Elephas maximus indicus: one gene and its partner. The protein of the gene in region 1 interacts with the protein of each later gene in a biochemical or structural test. Links are inferred from orthologs where the notes say so. Each region holds a gene or a part of one and is shown on either strand. Other genes may lie near its edges.

Region 1 (10,544 bases):
TTTAAAATTTATTATGAAATCCTCATAGCCTGAGAGATCAAAACACAACATAATCTTGTAGATTAAATAGTGCCTCATTGACATCATAGAGGTAGGATTTATGACACATAGGAAAATCACATCAGATTTCAAAATGGTGGACAATCACACAATACTGGGAATCAAGGCCTAGCCAAGTTGACACATATTTATGGGGGACACAATTCAATTCATAACAGGGCCTAATCATTGCTTCCACGTGTAGCAGGTGGAATACACCACTGTGAGCAGTTCTGCAGCATTCCACCGTAGTTGTTTCTGCTTCTTAGCTGTTAGTACTGCTTTTGTTATAATGAAGGATACATACCCGTTGCCATCGAGTCAATTCCAAGTCATAGTGACCCTATAGGACAAAGCAGAATCTCCCCATAGAGTTTCCAAGGAGCGCCTGGTGGATTCAAACTGGTGACATTTTGGTTAGCAGCCGTAGCACTACGCCACCAGGGTTTCTGAAGGATACATAGTAGTAGCAATTTTTCTGAGATTCAATTTCCTTTAGTTTTATTTATTTGGCTTGTCAGCAGTGCTTTTGCAGTAATGAAAAATGCATTGCAGTGGTAATTTTCCTGAGATAAAAAAATCTCTTGGCTTTATTTATTTGGGCTATAAGTATTGCTTTTGCAGTAAGGAAGAATGCATTGTATCATGTTTTGAAAAGGTTCATGAAAAATCATAAAAAGGATAAGAAGTAGGTAACTAGAATGAAATATATGTGCAGTCATTGCCAGGTGCCCTCATGTTTTACCTCCTGTTTTGCAAAATTTCAAGAAATAAAAAAAAAAAAAAGATTTTATCATTGACTCATCGGCAGGATTTACAATACTCAGGGTCCGCTGAGACATATGTTATCCCAGATAATGGGTATCAAAATCCATAAATCATAACAAAGGTCCGGAATTGATCCTTTATTCAGCATGTCTTCCATTAGTGAAAATATAGTATCAACAAGAAATTCAAAGGAGAAAATAACTGTGTCCTGATAATCAATGCAATGTTTCCATCCCCATAAACTGAAACTCAGTACTCTATAAGCATAACCCTCCCTATTCCACTCCCTTCTGCCCCTGGTAACCACTAATAAACTTTGGCCTCTATACATTTGCCTTTTCTTATCTTTTTGTGTAAGTAAGGTCATACAATATTTGTCCTTTTGTGATTGATTTATTTCACTCAGTTTAAAGTCTTCAAGCTTCATCAATATTGTAGCATATAGTATATTTTTTTGAGATAAATCTGGCAAGAATTGTTGATGAATTGGTTTAAGGGTGAAAGAGAGTGATGTATCAAGGATGACTGTTAGGCTTTTGACTTGAGTAACTGGGTAGAAGGTCATCCCATTTCTAAGATATGGAACATGGGCAAAGAGAAGGTTTGGAATGTTAAGGTTTGGAATGTTAAGGATTGGAATGTTAAGGATTGGAATGTTAAGGAGTTCAGTATTGGACGCGTTCAGCAGAGATGTTCAGTAAGGGCTTGGATATGTGTATCTGGAACTCAAAGGACAGGCCAGGCATAGAAAGAAAAAAAAAGGCCTACAGACCATTAAATTACTGGTTTTTAAAAAGATAATACGTCAGATCCTACAGTTCAGCAAACTTCTTGAATACAGTGTAGATGTTCCAGGAATCATGGCTTTTCAACTCAGGAAACAATTAAATACATAATTAGTGGCACAGTGATTTCACAGGATAGTCAATTATTAGGTAGCCATCATTTCATTGTACTGCAACTTATCCAAATAAAACATTTAAGCTCTCAAAAGATTTTCTTAGAATAATAGAATAGACAGCAATTCAGCTGCTTTGCTTTCTGCTCTTTTACTGACATTATCACCTCCTGTGTCTATCTATACTTCACATAATATCTACAACAACACATGCATTTGAAAGAAAAAGGTATTTTGAACATTTTCTCCATGCAGGGGCTTTAAATTTTTTTTAAGTGATGATCTTTTCAATGTCCAGGGAAGGTGTGAGTCATATAATAACTTTAGAAGGAAGGCTAAATAGAAGCTGGTAATTTTCTCTCTCTGAGGGACATACTGTTTATTCCCAGGGAAAAAAGGGGGGTTTCAAATTGGGGCTGGGTAGATTGGAAAATTAACACTAAAGTAATTATAGGTTTATTTTGTTTTACCTTACTAAATGTAAGCTTCATGAAGACGGGAGATTTTTGTTTGCTTTGTTCATTGCTATAACCCCAGCATCTAAAAGAGTGCCTTGCATGTAGTAGGTGCTCAATGAATAGTTGAGGAATAAATGAATTAATGAGTTATGTCTTCACAATGTAATTGTGTTTGTTAGAAAACTACTGACTTCCTAGAAAGTTAGAAATACATACACATATGTATACATGTATGCACTTATATCTCCAAAGTAAGACAGAAATATTTTTATTTATCATTATTACTATTTTTAACCATTCATGCTATGGATTCTCACTGTTAGAGAAGATTGCAGAAAGTTTCCTGTGTTTACTCTGGGAAATATATTAATTTCCATTTCCACTGTTGATAGTAAGAGTCTCAGAGATAAGATCTATTTCACTTCTGAGAATACTCAAAACTTTCTTTTCATACCAAGATGAATAGCAGAGTGATTTACTGAACAATATTTTACATTTCACTTCTCAGAGGAATCTCTTTTACATGATATATTCATCAGAGGACCATATCATAAAAGAATTGTTCGATACAACAAGATGAACAAGAAAATAAGTTAATGGAACATGTACTACATATTGCCAATGACCAGGGTAAAATGCAACATAAATACAGCCAAAAAATCAGCAAAATACATTTTTAAAGATTTTTCATGTTCTAGCAAGATTAACAAACATGTATTTAGGGTCTACGACATGCAGGACACACATGATAGTGATAGGCAGATACAAAAGTGAAGAAGGCTTAGTCCCTGTTCTCATAAGGCTTACCATCTATTAGGGGAGTCAGAACTAAGTTCAGTTCAGCAAATATTTATTGAATTCCTCCTATACACCAGGCTTAGGTTGGATGCAAGGGGTAACAAGATAAATAAGACACAGTCCCTGTCATACCGGAAAAACAAACAAACAAACAAAAAAAACCCAAAGCCATCGCCTTCAAGTTGATTCCGACTCATGGTGGCCCCGTGCGTTATAGAGTAGAACTGCTCCACAGGGTTTTCTTGGCTGTAATCTTTATGGAAAGGAGCCCTGGTGGTGCAGCAGTTAAAGCATTTGGTTGCCAACCCAAAGGTCGTTGGTTCAAACCCACTAGCTGCTCTACAGGAGAAAGATGTGGCAATCTGCTTCCGTAAAGATTACAGCCTTGGAAACACTATGGGGCAGTTCTACTCTATCCTATAGGGTCGCTGTGAGTCGAAATCGACTCGATGGCAATGGTGTTTTTTTTTTTTTAATAGTGTCTCCATAAGTTAGAATCGGCTGGATGGCATGGGTTTGGTTTTTAATCTTTATGGAAGCAGATTGCCAGGCCTTTCTTCCACAGTGCTGCTGGGTGGGTTCTAACTTCCATCCTTTAGCTTAGCAGCTGATAGCAAACTGCTTGAGCCACCCAGGAACCTCCCTGTCATACAGGAGCTTATAATTTAGCTTGCTGTATATCTGGGTGTGTATTTTGCGTGTGTGCATGGGGATATGTGTACTACGTAGGGACTGACATAAATGTAAATAATTTCAGTGAATATGGCAGGTTATGACACAGTGGTAGCACCATTGGAGAACCTTAGCTCAACATGGGTAGGGAATGAAAGGAAGAGGAAGTGGAAGCTGAGCTGATTCTTGAGGATAAGTATTAGCTAAAGAATGGGAAGATCATTCCATTTTGAAAGGACAGTGTGGGGTGGTTCAGGAAGATGGAAAAGATGACAGTGTGTCTGGCAAACTACAAGCAACTAAGAGGACAGGTGGTGTAAGAGAAGGACAGGTTCACCACTGCACCCTCTCTTTGAATTATTCAGTAAAATAGTTAAGTAATTTCTGGGGTCAAAAATATTCTCTCACTCCCCTGCACAAGCCTCACTTTTTTGCTTTGGTATCGTCAGACAGACAGCAAAGCATTTTAAAAAATGGGGTGGAGAGGGCTTGAAAATACTTATGAAAGCTATGTTAGCTGCTTGTCATAGACCACCTACAAAACAAAACAAAACAAAAAACCCCACTGCCATCGAGTTGAGTCCAACACATAGTGACCTTATAGGAAAAGAGTAGAACTGCTCCATAGGATTTTTTAATCTTTAGGGAAGCTGAATGCCACACCTTTCTTCTGCAGAGCGGCTGGTGGTAGCAGTCCAGTGCTTAACCACTGTACCACCAGTGCTCCTAGACCACTCATAAACAAACAAAAAACTCAAACCCATTGCCGTCGAGTCGATTCCAACTCATAACCCTAATCGAATACGATGACTTTAATGTAAAGGCCATTTCACCGTGACCATTTCTGTAGTAGCTTATTAGGAGAATCATATAAGGACTCATCTTACACATATAGAAACTCAGATTCGAATTCAACAAACGCTTATCAAACATCTACTATGCTTTCGTATAATTTTACCTTCATGTAAAGCTAGGCTAATTTTGCAAATATATATCGCCAGGGTGGCTGTTCGGCCTAACTAGAATAAATACCACGCGGTGAGGTTTTCATTCTGGTGAAACTAAACCAAAACCTTTTACCGTGGAGTGGATTTTGATTCACAGCGACCCTACAGGACAGAGTGGAACTGCCCAATAGAGTTTCCAAGGCTGCAGTCTTTGTGGAAACAGACTGCCACATCTTTCTCCTGCAGAGCAGCTAGCGGATGGAACCTCAGACTTTCCGGTTTGCAGCTAAGTCCTTTAACCACTGTGCCACCAGGGCTCCTGGTGAAACTAAGGCGAAGGGTTTATGGGGGGGGGTGTGGTGGGGAGGCTTATTGGGGAACGAGCCCTTGGTGCTGCAGTGGTTAAGCGCTTCGCTGGGCTGCTAACGGAAAGATTAGCAGCTGTCGGACACACTAGCTGGGCGCGGGAGAAAGATATGGCAATGTGCTTCGGTAAAGACTGCAGCCTTGGAAACACTATGGGACAGTTCTACTCTGTCCTATAGTGTCACAATGCGTGGCAATAGACTTCACAACGATTTTTTTTTAAATAGGTTTCAATGGGGAGACATAAGAGACCAAAAAGATTGGCAGTAGGAGACTCAGCCCAGCTAACAACATCGGTGTGAAAAATTATGCCACGAGGGCCAAAACGAAAGCACAGACACACTGGGGAAACGGTTTTCCAGGCTGGAATGATAACCTCTCTTGTTCACAGAACAATTCCCTCGCAACTTCATTCTGCCTTTTGGGTCTCCGAACACTTCTTTCTTTATCTTAGTTAAGGAGTACCCAGGTCTTCTCACATTCATCCTAGCCATCGGAATACAAATCTGCATCTCTTTCCTACCCCAAGCCTCCAGCCTAAATGCACTGCTTCATAAAGCCTGGAAAGTAAATCGAGCTTGCAACATTTGCGTAAAAATCGCAAATATAACGCTGCAGCCGTCTACCTGGGCCTTCACTCAAGAACTACAATACCCAGAATGCAGAGTTTTCCCTTCCGCCTTCCACCGTGGGAACGCTTAACTTGATTTCATTTCCACAAGCAGTAGTCACATGACACGTTTCCTGTAAAGATGGCGAATAATCTCCCTTCGGAATTTGATGTGATCGTAATAGGGACGGGTATGTGTGGCCCTAGTACTCCACGGACTAAATGTGGGATGCCTGTCTCATTCCTGCCTTCTTTGTCAGTGACGAGAGTTAGCGAGAAACGCCGGGGGTCGAGTTTGGGAGGGCGGACGGGAAGGAAGTGAGGTATTCTGGAGTCAGCGCGGGACTTGGCAAGCTCCAGGGAGGGGCTTGGACCCGCGGTGCTTAGCGACATCTGAGTAGGGGTATATCTGGTCGATGCCGATTGTTGAGGTTGGTTGCTGCGGCTGATTCCTGTAATTTCCTTAAAGGGAGGTGGGTTTGCAGTGTCATGAGGACGGAGGGTCGGGATTTTATCCATGCATACGCCTTTGACATGACATTACGATTCACTCCTTGTTGAGTTCAACGTGATATTCCTCATTCCTTTTGTTTCGTCGTTTCATAGGACTTTTTTCGTATCTTTATATGATTATAGGGTGTCGTGCAGTTAAAAATTGCTCGGTTACAGCTTAATCCTCAGTTTTGCAAGAAAGATGCTCAGTTGTTGCCCATGTACGTATTAATTTATTAGGGCAGGGAAACGGATTTTTTTTTCTCTATTGTGTTGAGCAGCCTAGGAAATTGTATTTTGTTGAGGCAGCCATTATTCCTGCTTTACGGTACTGAAAAAAACCATTCTGCTTTCTATCATCCACCTATCCACGCACAACCAGATATGCTGAGAACAAGCTTTTGTGAGTTCCAGTTCAGGTCTGTGACCTTATTGTCCCCTTGCTAATCATTCATTTGTTCTCCATGTTTTGGGTGGAGCCAGAAACCCCCCTGCAATTTCTAGTTGGCAAATTCAACATACAACGTGTGGCAGCGGACGTGTGGAATCAATTGACATTTTGTTTTTCTTAACTGGTTAGAGGGTGGGTTTTAGATGGGGTGAAAGAGGTTGTTGGGTGGGGTTTACTCCCGTCTGCGGAATGTAGTAGGCTCTGGGGTATTGGGCCCATTGTGTTGATGAATTCCGTTCGTTGTCTTTTCAAACTGTAGGAGCAGCCATGTTTTTAGGGTGGGAGTAAAAATTATAGCTACTTTTTTTTGTGTGAATGATTATTATTTGCTAGTCGATGTGCCAGCTAAGCACTTGACAAACCTTATGTAATTCTGACAGCAACCCTGTTAGAGTAGGTATTATTCTCTACATTTTACAGAAGAGGAAAAGGAGGATTAGAAAGGCTATAATTTGCTCATGATCACGCAGCTGGTAAATTTCCAAAGGCCCATGTCATAGCAGAAGGAGAATCAGTGGTTCTGATCCTCAGAGTTAACCCAGATTAGTAGAGGTCATTGGAAAAACTTGGTTCTAGAATTTGCTTGGCTTTTACCTTGCTGTGTGACTTTGAGGGAGGTTCAAGCACTTTAATCTCTCTGAGCCTGATTTTTCATATTTGTGAGTGTAGGGAGGGTAAACTAGTAGCTTTTAATGTGTTGTCTAACCAGAAAGCCTTTTATACTCGTTGTACCTAGGTAATTGTTCTCAGAACAACAGGGACATGTTATTCCCAACTTGAAAACAACTGCAGGTGCAGATAACCCAGCTGTGAGCAGACGTTGGATGAAAGCTGGAAGGAGCCAATTGAATATTCATTTATTCCCTCCATTCTCTTCTAAAACTGAGAAAAAAAATCCGTTTTAGAATAGCTGTTATTACCACACTTGCCTTTCTTTTTGGTTGTCTAGGAATCCATCCATTTTGGTCTTTTCTTTCTTTCCTGTCTTTTTAGTGACCTTTTGCTTTCTTCATGTATAATGTCCTCCCACAAGTAGTCTGGTCTTCGGCCATTAGCATCCAATGTATCAAATCTAATCTTGAGATGATCTCTAAATTCAGGTGGGATATACTCAAGGTTGTATTTTGGCTCTCATAGACTTGCTCTAATTTTCTTCAGCTTCAACTTGAACTCGCATATGAGCAGTTGATGGCCTGTTCTGCAGTCCACCCCTGGCCTTGTTCTGACTGATGATATTGAGCTTCTCCATAGTCTCTTTCCACAGATGTAGTTGATTTGATTCCTGTGTATTCCATCTGGCAAGGTCCGTGTGTATAGCTGGCCTTTCTGTTGCTGAAAAATGTATTTTCAATGAAGAAGTCATTCATCTTGCAAAATTCACTACACTAAATAATCCCAGGCTGTTATGGATTGAATTGTCCCCCCCACCCCCCCAAAAATATGTGTTGTACATCATAACCTCTATGCCTGCGGTTAGTCTGGTTAGAATTTTGCAAGACTAACCATAGGCATAGAGGTAATGATGCACAACATATATTTTTTGGGGACACTATTCAATCCATAACAGCCTGGGATTATTTAGGCTAGTGACAACCACTCATTTCTCAGGATATTCAAACCATGTTTATTGAGAACCTAGTCCCTGCCCTTGTGAAGGTTACTGTATTGTCAATACTCAGGAATTGTTTGGACTTCTGACAGTCACACCCCCAAAGCTGTTCTTAAGCCTATGTGAGCTTTTCATCACGTCCTTCTTGCTTTCTGCAGGCCATTTAGAGATCTAGTCTGCATCGTTTTCCTTTTTAAAACACATCAGTCACTTTATCTTCTGGAGTTCTTCCCCTAAAATGGGCTGTGGAGTAAGCTAGCTTAATTTTTTTCTTGCAGAGGGTGAACACATAGATCCTAGTTGATTTAAGAGTTTTACTACTAAGGATTATAAGGTTGCTATGAGCTAGAATCGACTCAATGGCATACAGCAACAACAACAATACTAAAGATATGGGTAAAGAGATGGGATAAAAAATAACAAACATGGGGAAGCTTACAAGGGTTACGGCCCTAAATCTTGACTGCCTTGCTAGATGGTGCTCAGTATAGTATAATAATAGATGTGGCAACATGGTTTAATGGTAATTGCTTGACCTTCCCCCTGTGTAACCTTGGGAAAATTGCATAACCTCTTGGGATTTCAGCTCATACATAAAGTGGGAGATTTGAATTAGGGGATTTCTAAGGTAGGGTTCTACCAGCTCGAAAATTTACCATTGTGTGTGCATAATTATGACCCTGTGTCATCAAGAAAAGGCTGATTTTATTAAAATTGTGCTTCAGATGAAAGTTTTCAGAGTAAATTAATTTCTCATTAAACAATTAATACTCATTGTTTTGTGACATTGATTGCCAACCACACGACATGTCAGCACTCTCCCTTCTGGACCTTGGGTTCCCCTTTACCAGCTTTCCTGTCCCCTCCTGTCTTCTAGTCCTTTGCCCTAGGTTGGTGTGCCCATTTAGTCTCATTTTGTTTTATGGGCCTGTCTAATCTTTGACTGAAGCGTGAACCTCAGGAGTAACTTTAGTACTGAGTTATAAGGGGGTCTGGGGGCCATACTCTCGGGGTTTCTCCTCTCAGTCAGACCAGTAAGTCTGGTCTTTTTTGTGTGAGTTAGAATTTCATTCTACATTTATCTCTTGCCCTGTCCAGGACCCTCTGTTGTGATCACTGTCAGGGCAGTTGGTGGTGGTAGCCAGGCACCATCTAGTTGTGGAAAAGGCTGGATTCTGTTCTGTATAGTCTTTTTAAGAAGTCAGTGTTGAATATATTTGAAAAAATTTCTATCAAAATGGATGCTTAAAAAAACTTTTTTTTTTTTTTTGAAAATGATAAGCTTCATTTATCAGGAAGGGTCACATAGGTCATATAGCTCCATTCCTTGATGTTGGTGGAGAATTGAAACATTAAGGTAGTTAACCTTGGCCAGCAGCTCATTGACTATAGTGTTTATTGTGATGGTGGTGGAGTAACCTCACTTCTATAAACCTTGGTAGATATAAATGCTGTAGGAGGGATCATGGAAACTGATATTTACTAAATACTCATTTGTGTCAGACCCTATGCCAAGTGATTTCTCCTGTATTCATCTTATTTAATCCCCTTTCAGGATGCTTGTATGTGGTTCAGACAAGATGTATTTCCTCTGCCTGTATTTCCAAATATCCATGCCCCTACGGTCTAGAAGGAGCCCTGGTGGTGCAGTGGTTAAGAGCTCAGCTGCTAACCAAAAGTTCGGCAGTTCAAATCTACCAGCCGCCTACTTGGAAACCCTATGAGGCAGCTCTGCTCTCCTGTAGGGTCGCTGAGTCAGAATCATCTCGACAGCAATGGGTTTGTTTGTTTGTTTTTGGTTATTGCCTGATTTACTTCCCAGAGAAGGCTCATGATTTCCATGAAAGGGGTGTCAATTTTATCTTCTTCCTCTTCTCATTGGCTACTTGATAGGAAAGACGTTTGTGTGTCTATTACCAGTAATCCTATCAGGTTTCTCATCTGGTGGTTTATAGGTTTTCTTCTTTATCTTTTTTACTCCCGAGCTTGCATTATTGATCATTTGTTTTGCCTGCAGGTTTTGAACAGATTTACTGTTTGTCTTATTTGGGGGCATAGTTGAAATTCTTCCTTGTCAGTGTAGGAAATGGTGAAGGAGCTAAAGAAAGCATGTGTATTTTGCTGTTCTGAAAAAATCTTTGCAATTCTTCAGGCATTTATTGATGGAAAAGTATGTCTTTTCTACTCTCAGTACCTAGAAAAGCAAAGATAGTTATGTAGCTCTGGAGAAGACTCTCAGAGATGCTTACCCTTCCCTGTAAGTCATAATAAGTTTGCATCATTCCCTCAGAGAGAGTCACATCTGTTCCCAGAATTCCCTCTGCAGCATCATTTTGATCTCCCACATCTTGTGTCATTTTCTCATATTCTCTAGTGTTCTCATGATGTTTCAAATAACTCAGGCTATAAAAAAAAAAAAAATCAGGCTATAGCAGT
Region 2 (10,247 bases), on another chromosome or scaffold:
TACATTAATCAGCTGTGCAACCCTATCCTTAATCAATACTATCTTTCCATCATGGTAAGCCAAAACTCAGTGCTCCATAAGTAATAACGGTCCCCTTTTCCCCTCTCTCCTGCCCCTGGTAACCACTAAGAAACTTTGGTCTCTATATATTTGACTGCTCTTATCTTTTTATATAATTGAGGTCACCTGATATTTGTCCTTCTGTGATTGACTTATTTCACTCAGCATAATGTCTTCAAGCTCCAACCATATTGTAGCATGTATCAAGACTTCATTTCTCTCACTGGCTGAGTCATATTTCAATGTATGTATATACCACATTTTTTTTATCCATTCATCCACTGATGGCCTTTTAGATTGTTTCAACTTTTGGCTATTGTGAATAATGCTGCAATGAACATTGGTGTACAATGTCTGTTCGTGTTGCTGTTTTCAAGTCCCTTGGATATTTTTCTAGCAGTGGAATTGCTAGGTAATACGATAGTTCTATTTTTAGTTTTTTGAGGAACTGCCACACAGTTTTCCACAATGGCTGTACCATTTTGGATTCCCACCAGCAATGGACAAGAATTTCAATTTCCCCATATTCTTGCCGACATTTGTTATTTTCTGTTTTTTTTAATTTTAGCCATCTTAATGAGAATGAAATGGTATCTCATTGTGGTTTGATTTTGATGTTGAGCATCTTTTCATGTGCTTGGTGGCTGTTATGGATTACGTTGTATCCCCCCAAAATGTGATGTAAATGACCTATGGTATAATCCCATTTGGAATTTTTTTTGTTATGTTAATGAGACAGTGTAGTGTGTTTCTTAAGTCAATCTCTTTTGAGATATAAAAGTGATTAAACAAGCAAGGGAGGGGGTAGGAATAAGGGAATATAGATGCCACACCACAGGATCGCCAAGGAACCAAGAAATAGAAGCTGAAAGGACAAAGACATTTCCCCAGAATCAACAGAGAGAGAAAGCCTTCCCCTAGAGGCGGCACTCTAAATTTGAACTTCTAGTCTCCTAAACTGCTAGAAGATAAATTTCTGTTCGTTAAAGCCACCCACTTGTGGTATTTCTGTTATAGCAGCACTAGATAACTAAGACAGTGGCCATTTCAATGTCCTTTGGTAAAATGTCTATTCAATTCCTTTGCCTATTTTTTTATTGGGTTATTTTTCTTTTTGTTGTTCAGTTGTCCAGGCTTTTAAAATTACTATAGTATACGGTAAAACCTGTGAAAGCCAGAACCAATGTAAGGTGGAAACCTGTCACAGAAGGAAAACTCGAATATTTTCCATTAAAATGAGGGACAGGATAGTGGCAAGACCGCACTCTGTTAAGGGTGGAAAACTTGCACGACCAGGAAAAGGAAGGCGGTCCCACTGAGTTCTGGCTCTCACAGGCTTTCCTGTACTATTGTAAAGATGGCATGGCGACGGTGTTTGACCTCCTCTAACTTCACAAGTCAGGAAAGGTATGCTTCAGGGCTGTATCCATTCACCATACCTATTCAATCTGTATGCTGAGCAAATAACTCGAGAAGCTGGACTGTATGAAGAATGGGGCATCAGGATTGGAGGAAGACTCATTAACAAAATGCAGATGACACAACCTTGCTTGCTGAAAGCAAAGAGGACTTGAAGCACTTACTAATGAAGATCAAAGACCACAGCCTTCAGTATGGATTGCACCTCAACATGAAGAAAACAAAAATCCTCACAACTGGACAAATGAGCAACATCATGATAAACGGAGAAAAGATTGAAGTTGTCAAGGATTTCATTTTACTTGGATCCACAATCAACACCCATGGTAGCTGTAGTCAAGAAACCAAACGATGCATTGCATTGGGTAAATCTGCTGCAAAGGACCTCTTCACAGTGTTGAAAAGCAAAGATGTCACCTTGAAGACTAAGGTACGCCTGACCCAAGCCATAGTATTTTCAATCACATCATGTGTATGTGAAAGCTGGATAATGAATAAGGAAGACCGAAGAACTGACACCTTTGAATTGTGGTGTCGGCGAAGAATACTGAATATACCATGGACTGCCAACGAACAAATCTGTTTTGGAAGAAGTACAACCAGAATGCTACTTAGAAGCAAGGATGGTAAGACTGCGCCTTACAGACTTTGGACATATTGTCAGGAAGGATCAGTCCCTGGAGAAGGACATCATGCTTTGCAAAATACAGGGTCAGCAGAGAAGAGGAAGACCCTCAACTAGGTGGATTGACACAGCGGCTGCAACAATGAGCTCAAGCATAACAACGATTCTAAGGATGGCGCAGGACCGGGCAGTATCTCGTTCTGTCGTGCACAGGGTCGCTATGAGTCAGAATCGACTCGACAGCACCTAATAACAACTTCACTAGAGGGAAGGAGGATCAAGATCAACAGCCCGAGGCTAATTCCTTTGAGGGAGAGGTCAGACATGCCTCCTCTCTCTGCCATCTTTACCAATTCCGACACCAACTGCCCCTCCCATGGCATTCTCCACTTCTCTGCTGAGTTCAATAATTTATTGCAACAGCCACACAGAACACACAGACCATACTCACAGTTATGGGGCTTATAGGGAAGTAACAGGTTACAACTCAGGTTCAGGAATGCTCAGAATGCAGTTCTCCCATCAGGACAGCCTCTTCTCAGCCATGCCCGCAGGCACGCTTCTTTCTCTCTGGCCCCTCAGCCTCTGCTAAGGCAAGTGCTAAACAAAACTCTTTTAGCTCTGTTGATAAGTGCTCCAAGGCACCCCACTCCGCCAGTAAGCCTCAGCCTGAAGGTGCGCAGCTTTTTTGCTCCATGGGCCAGGAGGCCCACTGTGCCATCTCCTGCTGCTCTTTCCTGCTGCCGTTCCTCTGACACCGCTTCTCACCATCGTCCGTGTTATAGCCGTGTCTTTCTCAGTCTCCTGGTTTCAGGAGCTTCTCAGTGTAGGGATACTGGGTCCAAAGGATGCTCACCACTCCTGGCTCTTCTTTCCTGTTGGTGGTTAGATCCTCTCCTCCCACCTCTGGGATGGCTTGTTTTTAGCCTAGCAGGATGGCAAAACTGACCAGTCCTCTATGGTGGGCCACAATGTCCTTATTTGCATAACTTACCAAGTAAATTATCAGACGATAGTGAAAAACCAAAAACCCACTGCGGTCGAGTCAATTCTGACTCATAGCGACCCTATAGGACAGAGTAGAACTGCCTGATAGAGTTTCCAAGGAGTGCCTGGAGGATTCAAACTGCCAACCTCTTGGTTAGCAGCTGTGGCACTTAACCACTACACTACCAGGGTTTCCTGAGACCATAATGAGACAGGCCATATAAAATGATCCATCCCACTGCAAGTATGTTTTGAAATCAGAAAGTGTAAGTCCTCATATTTTATTCTTCTTCAAGGTTGCTTTAGCTGTTTGAGATCCTCTGCCCTTCCATATAAATTTGAGAACTGGCTTTCCATTTCTGCAAAGAAGGCTGTTGGAATTTTGATGAGGATTGCATTGAATTTATAGATTGCTTTGGGTAATACTGACGTCTTAACTATATTAAACCTTCTGGTGGTGCAGTGGTCAGGAGCTTTGGCTGATAACCGAAAAGGTTGGTAGTTTGAATTCACCAGCCACTTCTTGGAAATCTTATGGGGAAGGTCTACTCTGTCTTATAGGGTTACTATGAGTTAGAATCAACTCGTGGTGATGGGTTTGTTTTTTTGTTTTGTTTTAATCCATGAACATGGAATGTCTTTTTATTTATTTAGGTCTTCTTTAATTTATTTTAGCAATGTTTTATAATTTTTTGCATAGAAGTCTTTCACCTTTCAGGTTAAGTTTATTCCTAGGTACTTATTCTTATTGTAAATGGTAATGTTTCCTTAATTTCCTTTTCAGCTTGCTCATTGTTGCTGTATAGAAACCTCACTGATTTTTGTGTTTTGACTCTGTGTCTCTCATAAGGACACTTGTAATTGGATTTAGGACCTACTTGGATAACTCAGGGTAATCTCATTTTGAGATCCTTAATTACATCTACAAAGTCTCTTTATCCAAATAAAGTCACATTCACAGGTTACAGGATGTGAACATATCTTTTTGGGGCTCGCCCAGGGAGAAATCTCTAAATAGTTAGAGACGAGACCATTCAACTCACAACAGGAGTCAAGAATGATTCCAAGGTTTTCAGACTGAGTAACAGGAAAGAATGGCATTTGCATGAGCCGAGATAGTAAAGACTATGACAAGAGTATGTTGTTGAAGATAAAGTTCTAAGTGGCTCTTAATTGTGTTTGTATGAGGTTGGGGCTTGGAAGGGTGGGGTGCATTCTAAGAGTTCTGCAGGGTCCATCTTTGCCTCGCTTTTAACACTAAATTCAGAGAAACTTGAGTTCTTTTTCAATTTTCTTGGGCTATCTCCTCTGTGTTTTGGAAATGTCTAACTCATCTTCATGTTTCTATCATCCAGCTACATAATGGGTGCAGTTATTTGCAGTCCATTAGGAAGATCACACACATTGTCATGAGACCGTGGCTCACAATCCTGGCTGTGCCACTTGCTGTGTGGGCTAGGTAAAGTGACTTTCTAAGTTCTTCAGTTCTTCTCAGTTCTCTATTTGCAAAATGGTGGTAATAACAGCCTTCCTGTAAGATTAAAATAATGACTCTTGGAGTCTACCCAACAGTCTAGTACGGTGCACAGTAAATACAGACCTTCTCCACTCCTCTATTAGTTTATAAAATAACCCCTGCAAGAGCTTGGTTGCTAACCAAAAGGTCGCAGTTTGAATCCACCAGCTGCTCCTTGGAAGCCCTATGGGCCAGTCCTACTCTATCCTATAGGGTCGCTATGAGTTGGAATCGACTGGACAGCAACGGGTTTTGCCTTGTCTCTCACAAAAAGGTGCCCTGGTGGCACAGCGGTTAAAGCATTCAACTGCTAACCAATAGGTTGGTGGTTCGAAACCACCAGCAACTCTGTGGGAGAAAGATGTGGCTGCCTGCTTACGCAGTGATTTAGTCTTGGAAGCCCTATGGGGTCACTATGAGTTGGAATCTACTCCACGGCAGTGGGTGGGTGTTTCTCACTAAGGAGCCCTGGGTGGCACAGTGGTTAAGCACTGGGCTGCTAACTCAAAGATCTGCTAACTGAAAAGTTGGCGATTTGAACCAGGGATTCGAACTGGTTTGTTCTGGTTCAAACCCCTGTTGAGAATTGGAATTTGTAACACGTTCCTAGGCCATCCTAATGATGCTGTTTAGGGACCAATGCTGAGAACCACCAGTAGTGCAGGTTCTCGAATTTTATTATACATAAAAATCACCTGGAGATTGTGTTAGACAGTAGATTCTGATTCTAGATATCTGGGGTGGACCTGCAAATTCTCAGCAGGGGTCTGAACCAGAAGGAACCAGTTGGAAGACCTGGTTTGAACCTACCAGCTGCTCCTTGGGAGAAAAATGTGGCAATCAGGTTCCATAAAGATTACTGCCTTGGAAACCCTATAGGGCAGTCCTGCTGTGTCCTTTAGGGCCGCGATAAGTCCGAATAGACTCCACCACAATGGGATTTAGTTGTGTCTCACGACAGAGATTTCTCCCTGGGCAAATCCATTCTTAGGACAAGCTCTGTAGATCCTGAATTGCTTAGCGTACATGGTAGGACTACTTGGTTGCCTGATCAGTCCTCTTGGAGACAGACACTATGGCAGAGGCAAGCTTACCTCATCCTCTCTCTCCCGGTATTCGTTATTCAGGGAAGACAGGAGGCGGCTGAGGAATCGATTTGTGGGTCCAACATGGCGCCGTCCTGGTCCCTGACCGAGTCTCAAAGATGGCGACGTCCTATGGGGGCAGACATGTTCGGACTACAAGATCCAGGCCCAGGCCAGAGGCGGCCGGAACCTGACGCAAGGTTGAGGCGGCGTCCCACCTCCGCACTCCTCGGCGTCGATTGTCTTGTGACAGGTACTTCCGCTCGGGGCGGCGGCGGTGGCGGAAGTGGGAGCGGGGCCGAAGTCTTGGCCATAAAGCCCGAGGCGGCGGCAGCGGTGGTGTTGGAGGCTTGAAAAGGGCGGAGGGGTCCGCTGGAACCGGCATTTGGACTTCTTCTCTGCCCCCGTACATTTTCGCCTCTCCTCGGCAAGAGCTCTCTCAACGCGCCCGGCCCGGAGCCTCCAGCGGAGCGGCCGCGGTAAGCAGCCGGCCCTGCCTGGCCGGTGGCCTTGTCCCATCCCCCTCCTCAGCCCCTCGGTACCCAGGGCCTCGCATCGATCCCGTCTCGGGGAAGGCTCCGCGCTCAGCCCGATCCTCGCGGGGAAGCCGCGCGTTGTTCAGCCCCAGGAGCAGGCCCGGACCGCGCCCGGTCGGGAAGAGGTCAGAGGTTGCCGGGTGTGACCTCTGGCCAGGTTGCCGGCGCTGAGACTGCCGTCACGGACGCCTTGTTTACTAGTGGTGTCAAGACCGGAGACCCACTGGGCACGGGGCCTGTGCGCCCGCGGCGGGATGCTCTAGCCGCTTGAGTTCCTTGCAGCGGCGAGCGGAAGGGTGTCGGAGCCGGCCCTCCAGCAGCCGTGTGGAGGGGACGGTGGTCCAGGCGCCCCCCAGCCGATCGCGCCTAGTGCTCAGCTACTTTGGCATCTGTGTCTTCGGTTGAACAGCCTGATTCGGCCTTGGGGGAGGGTCCCCGATGGCAGCTGAGTTAAGGCAGTGAGTCAGGTCACGTGCGCGGGGCTCACCTCGGAGGCTTGTGTACATGTGAGACGCTTCTGGCGCTGGGAGATTTTTGTCGTAAGCATGTTATGGTAAATCTTGAACGAAGTTTTCAGACTTATTGGGGGAAAGATGATGAATGGCTGTAAAGCTATGTGTGTTTAGTTCAGACTTGATACATACCGGTTGCCATCGACTCGATTCCGACTCATAGCGACCCTATCGGACAGAGTAGAACTGCCCCGTACGGTTTCCAAGAAGCGCCTGGTGGAATCGAACTGCCGACCTCTTGGTTAGCAGCTGTAGCGCTTAACCACTACACCGCCAGGGTTTCCACTTGATACATAATGGTTCTTAAAATGGGAATATAGAGAACAATAATAGGAAACATTTGAGCGCTTACTGTATGCTTGCTGGGCACCGTGCCAAGACCTTTTACACAGGTTGTTTAATTTTCAGAACAGCCTTTTGAAGTACGATTATCGTGCCCACTTGTGGATAGGGAAATCGAGGAACACAGAAGTTAAGTCACTTGTCCAAGATCACATAGCTAATAAGTTATGGAGCTGAGATTCAAACCCAAGGATTCAGACTCTGGAGTACTGCACTAGATGTCTAGGTTGCACTGCTTTCAGGTGCTCCTGAAGCTTGTGATTTCTCTTGTGCTACCTGGTATCTTCCTCTCTCTCCTTTTCTTTCTAATAATGTCATTTTAAAGCCTCCTGAAGTGGCATTTGTTCTATTTAAAGCCAAAAGTCATTCCATTTGTAGTTGTGACCTTTAATGGATATTATTGTAGTGTAGTGTCAGTATATTAGGAGCTCTTGAATTCTGACAAAGTGCTTAATCGGGGTTTGAAAAATTTTGTTACCTGAATTTTTTGTCAATTGATTAGGCTTGGCAAGCCTGCCATGTGAACCTTTCTTACCACCTTTAGCAGAGATGCGGGTGTACAGCCAGCTGGTTCTTCCCTGTTGAAAATACTCTTTGGATTCTGAAAGAACAGGCTCTTGTCTCTTCCTTGTGACTTAAGCAGCTGATTAGCCACATGACTTCTCATCCATGGATTAATAAAGTCTCCTGTTAGTCTGTTTCCCTCTTCAAACTTTGGAAGGTTTATTTAGGTTTGAGTGAGTTGTGAATATTTCTAATACCTCCTGAGAATATTACCCAAGCTAAAGCTTGGAACTCACAACCCCGTCGTGTTCCAGTTTATCTCGTTTTACCTTGCTACTCAGCCTGATATATTTGAGTAATAAGTACTGTGCCCTTAAATAGCGTTTGGGCACTTTTTCATTCATTCATTGAATGTTTTGAGTATCTGTCATGATTCTGATCCTTAAGGAATTTTCAGATGGTGAGTGATCATTGCTAGGAATTCGGTTGTGGACAAGTTGTCCATAGAACTTGAGGCTTTTGGAAAGAAGAGTTATTTCTCATCTCGGCAGGTGAATTTGTAGTAATCCAAACAGTCTAGTGTTTTGGCTAAATTGAATTTTGTTAATTTTAACAACAGCATTCATATGGCTTGCTCTTTAAGAGAATGTAGAAGACAGTATTACAGTTTCTAATTGATCACGTCTTTTGTAACCTTCAGCACTCTAAATTTGTTTCTCCTTTTGCTCTAGTGGCGTTTTTTGTTCACTTGAGGGAATCCGTGTCACTGCCACCCCATTGCACTGCAAGTGAGAGTTGTTGCAGTGTTCATTGAGCAGAGGTGCATTTGGCATGCTAGATTTTTTTCTTCAGCTGACAGAGAAAGTTGAATGTGGTTCCTGCCCATCACAGTACCAGTAACATCCTAGATAAAACACAGTGCCATGCTACCTCCAATAACTGTTTTGTCTCTCCATCTATAAGAGGAGATTTGGGTTTTGCGCATGTAGAACTGCAGTGTAGGAGAAACCAAACCAAAAACCAAACCCAGTGCCGTCGAGTCGATCCCGAGTCATAGAGACCTTATAGGACAGAGTAGAACTGCCCTGTAGAGTTTCCAAGGGGTGCCTGGCGGATTTGAACTGCTGACCCTTGGGTTAGCAGCTGTAGCACTTAACCACTACGCCACCAGGGTTTCCAGTGTAGGAGAAGACACTCTAAAAATGGTATTATTATTCTGTCCAAGTAATCGTGATATTATTATTCTGACAAAGTAATGGTGAGCAACAGCTTGGAGATAGTTCTCCTCCCCCCCACCTGTGGCTAAGCCTCCAAACCCCATAATCAGAGAGCATTGCATTGTACCAAAGTGTGGCTTTGAATCACTTTTCTGACCCCACCCTCAAGTGAAGAAAAAAAAAAAAGTTTTGATTATTTGATTAACTTTTAATAAGTCTTCAAAGAGATCTGCACTAATAACATTTTTGCACTTATATCTGGCATTGGCCTTTCCACACAGAGGTGTATCAAACCCAGACTACGTGGGCGTGGCAGTAGTCTTATGCGCTTTCCCTCTCTGGGATTTGGCATAAATATTTTGCCATTATTTCTAAGACAAATTGTCCAGCTCTCCATCCATGTACTTCAGCAGATTTGACTGAGATAGATTTGGCTAGATGTTGGACTGTAGGCTGTGGGCAAGGTTCTTCAGAGAAGTTAAGGAAGTGCCTTCCTGAATAAGGCTAAACAGTGGTTCCCCTTGGCACTGATGTCGTTCTCTGAAGGGGACTGGCACTCGAGAAATGAAGTACCGCTCCTCTTGCCCCCCAATTATGCAGTTACTGACTTTCTGCAGACTTTTATCCCCCATATAAGGTTGCCATTGTATTCTCAGGGACTGATTCTTACGTGTTATCAAACACTTATCCATTAATGCCATCTAATAGATCTCTATGCTTATCTGTCTGCAGTTTGCTGCAGAAACATTTTGGAATGTGTTGATCTCTTCAGTTATTTGCTCTCACATCTTCTGTCTGTGCTCCGCTTTTCCTTCTCACATATAGCGTTAAAGACAGAAAAATAGCTTGCATTTATGTTTTAAAACTTCCTAATGGTGGTTGGGGTCAGTGTGATTGGTGAATCAAAAGTGATGTGTGGGTGAAATTAGAACAGGTGTTGTAGCCGTGTCTCTGACTAGTTTCAATTTTAGTACTGGAGCCTGTGATTTCAAAAATGAATTTAAGAATAGCTACTTGCAAAATGTCTCTGTGGGGTAGGGAGAAAGCTTGGGAGTTAGTTCCAGTGATGACATACAGTGTTGGCCTTGTTCGTTTGCCTGGAGATGCAGTACTTAATGCAGGGGGCCCGCGAGCCTCTCCTGGAGCTCTCTGTTCTGGTGAGGTCATCACTGCTCTGGAGATCAGCCTGCCTGATTCTGTTGTCCATTTATTTATGCAGTGGGACTGAGCAAGTCTGAAGAAGTATTTTAGGGCAGTGTTGGAAATTCTACAACCTTGCCTGGTTCTCAGATGGCCTTACCTGTGTGACTGCTGCCAAATATCATGAGGGAAGTTCTCTTCTGCCCCCTGCCCTTTCAAGTAACGATGGCTAGCTTGCTTCTTACTATTGACTTTCCTGGAGTTATCCAGCTCAGTTCAGGAGTCCTTGTGTGTAAGTGCAAAA

What was found.
Region 2: the proteins of CHM (region 1) and RAB7A are reported together in a solved structure, tested with the Homo sapiens proteins (2 studies listed by BioGRID, with this or other methods). The link is inferred for Elephas maximus indicus from reciprocal best matches to the Homo sapiens genes CHM and RAB7A.

Annotation. Positions count from the first base shown.
Region 1 is NC_064846.1:78,960,737-78,971,280, forward strand, and holds the start of CHM (rab proteins geranylgeranyltransferase component A 1), read left to right. Parts: upstream 1-5,677; 5' UTR 5,678-5,698; coding exon 5,699-5,747; intron 5,748-10,544. UniProt on the Homo sapiens protein: Substrate-binding subunit of the Rab geranylgeranyltransferase (GGTase) complex.
Region 2 is NC_064838.1:41,758,154-41,768,400, reverse strand, and holds the start of RAB7A (ras-related protein Rab-7a), read left to right. Parts: upstream 1-5,978; 5' UTR 5,979-6,171; intron 6,172-10,247.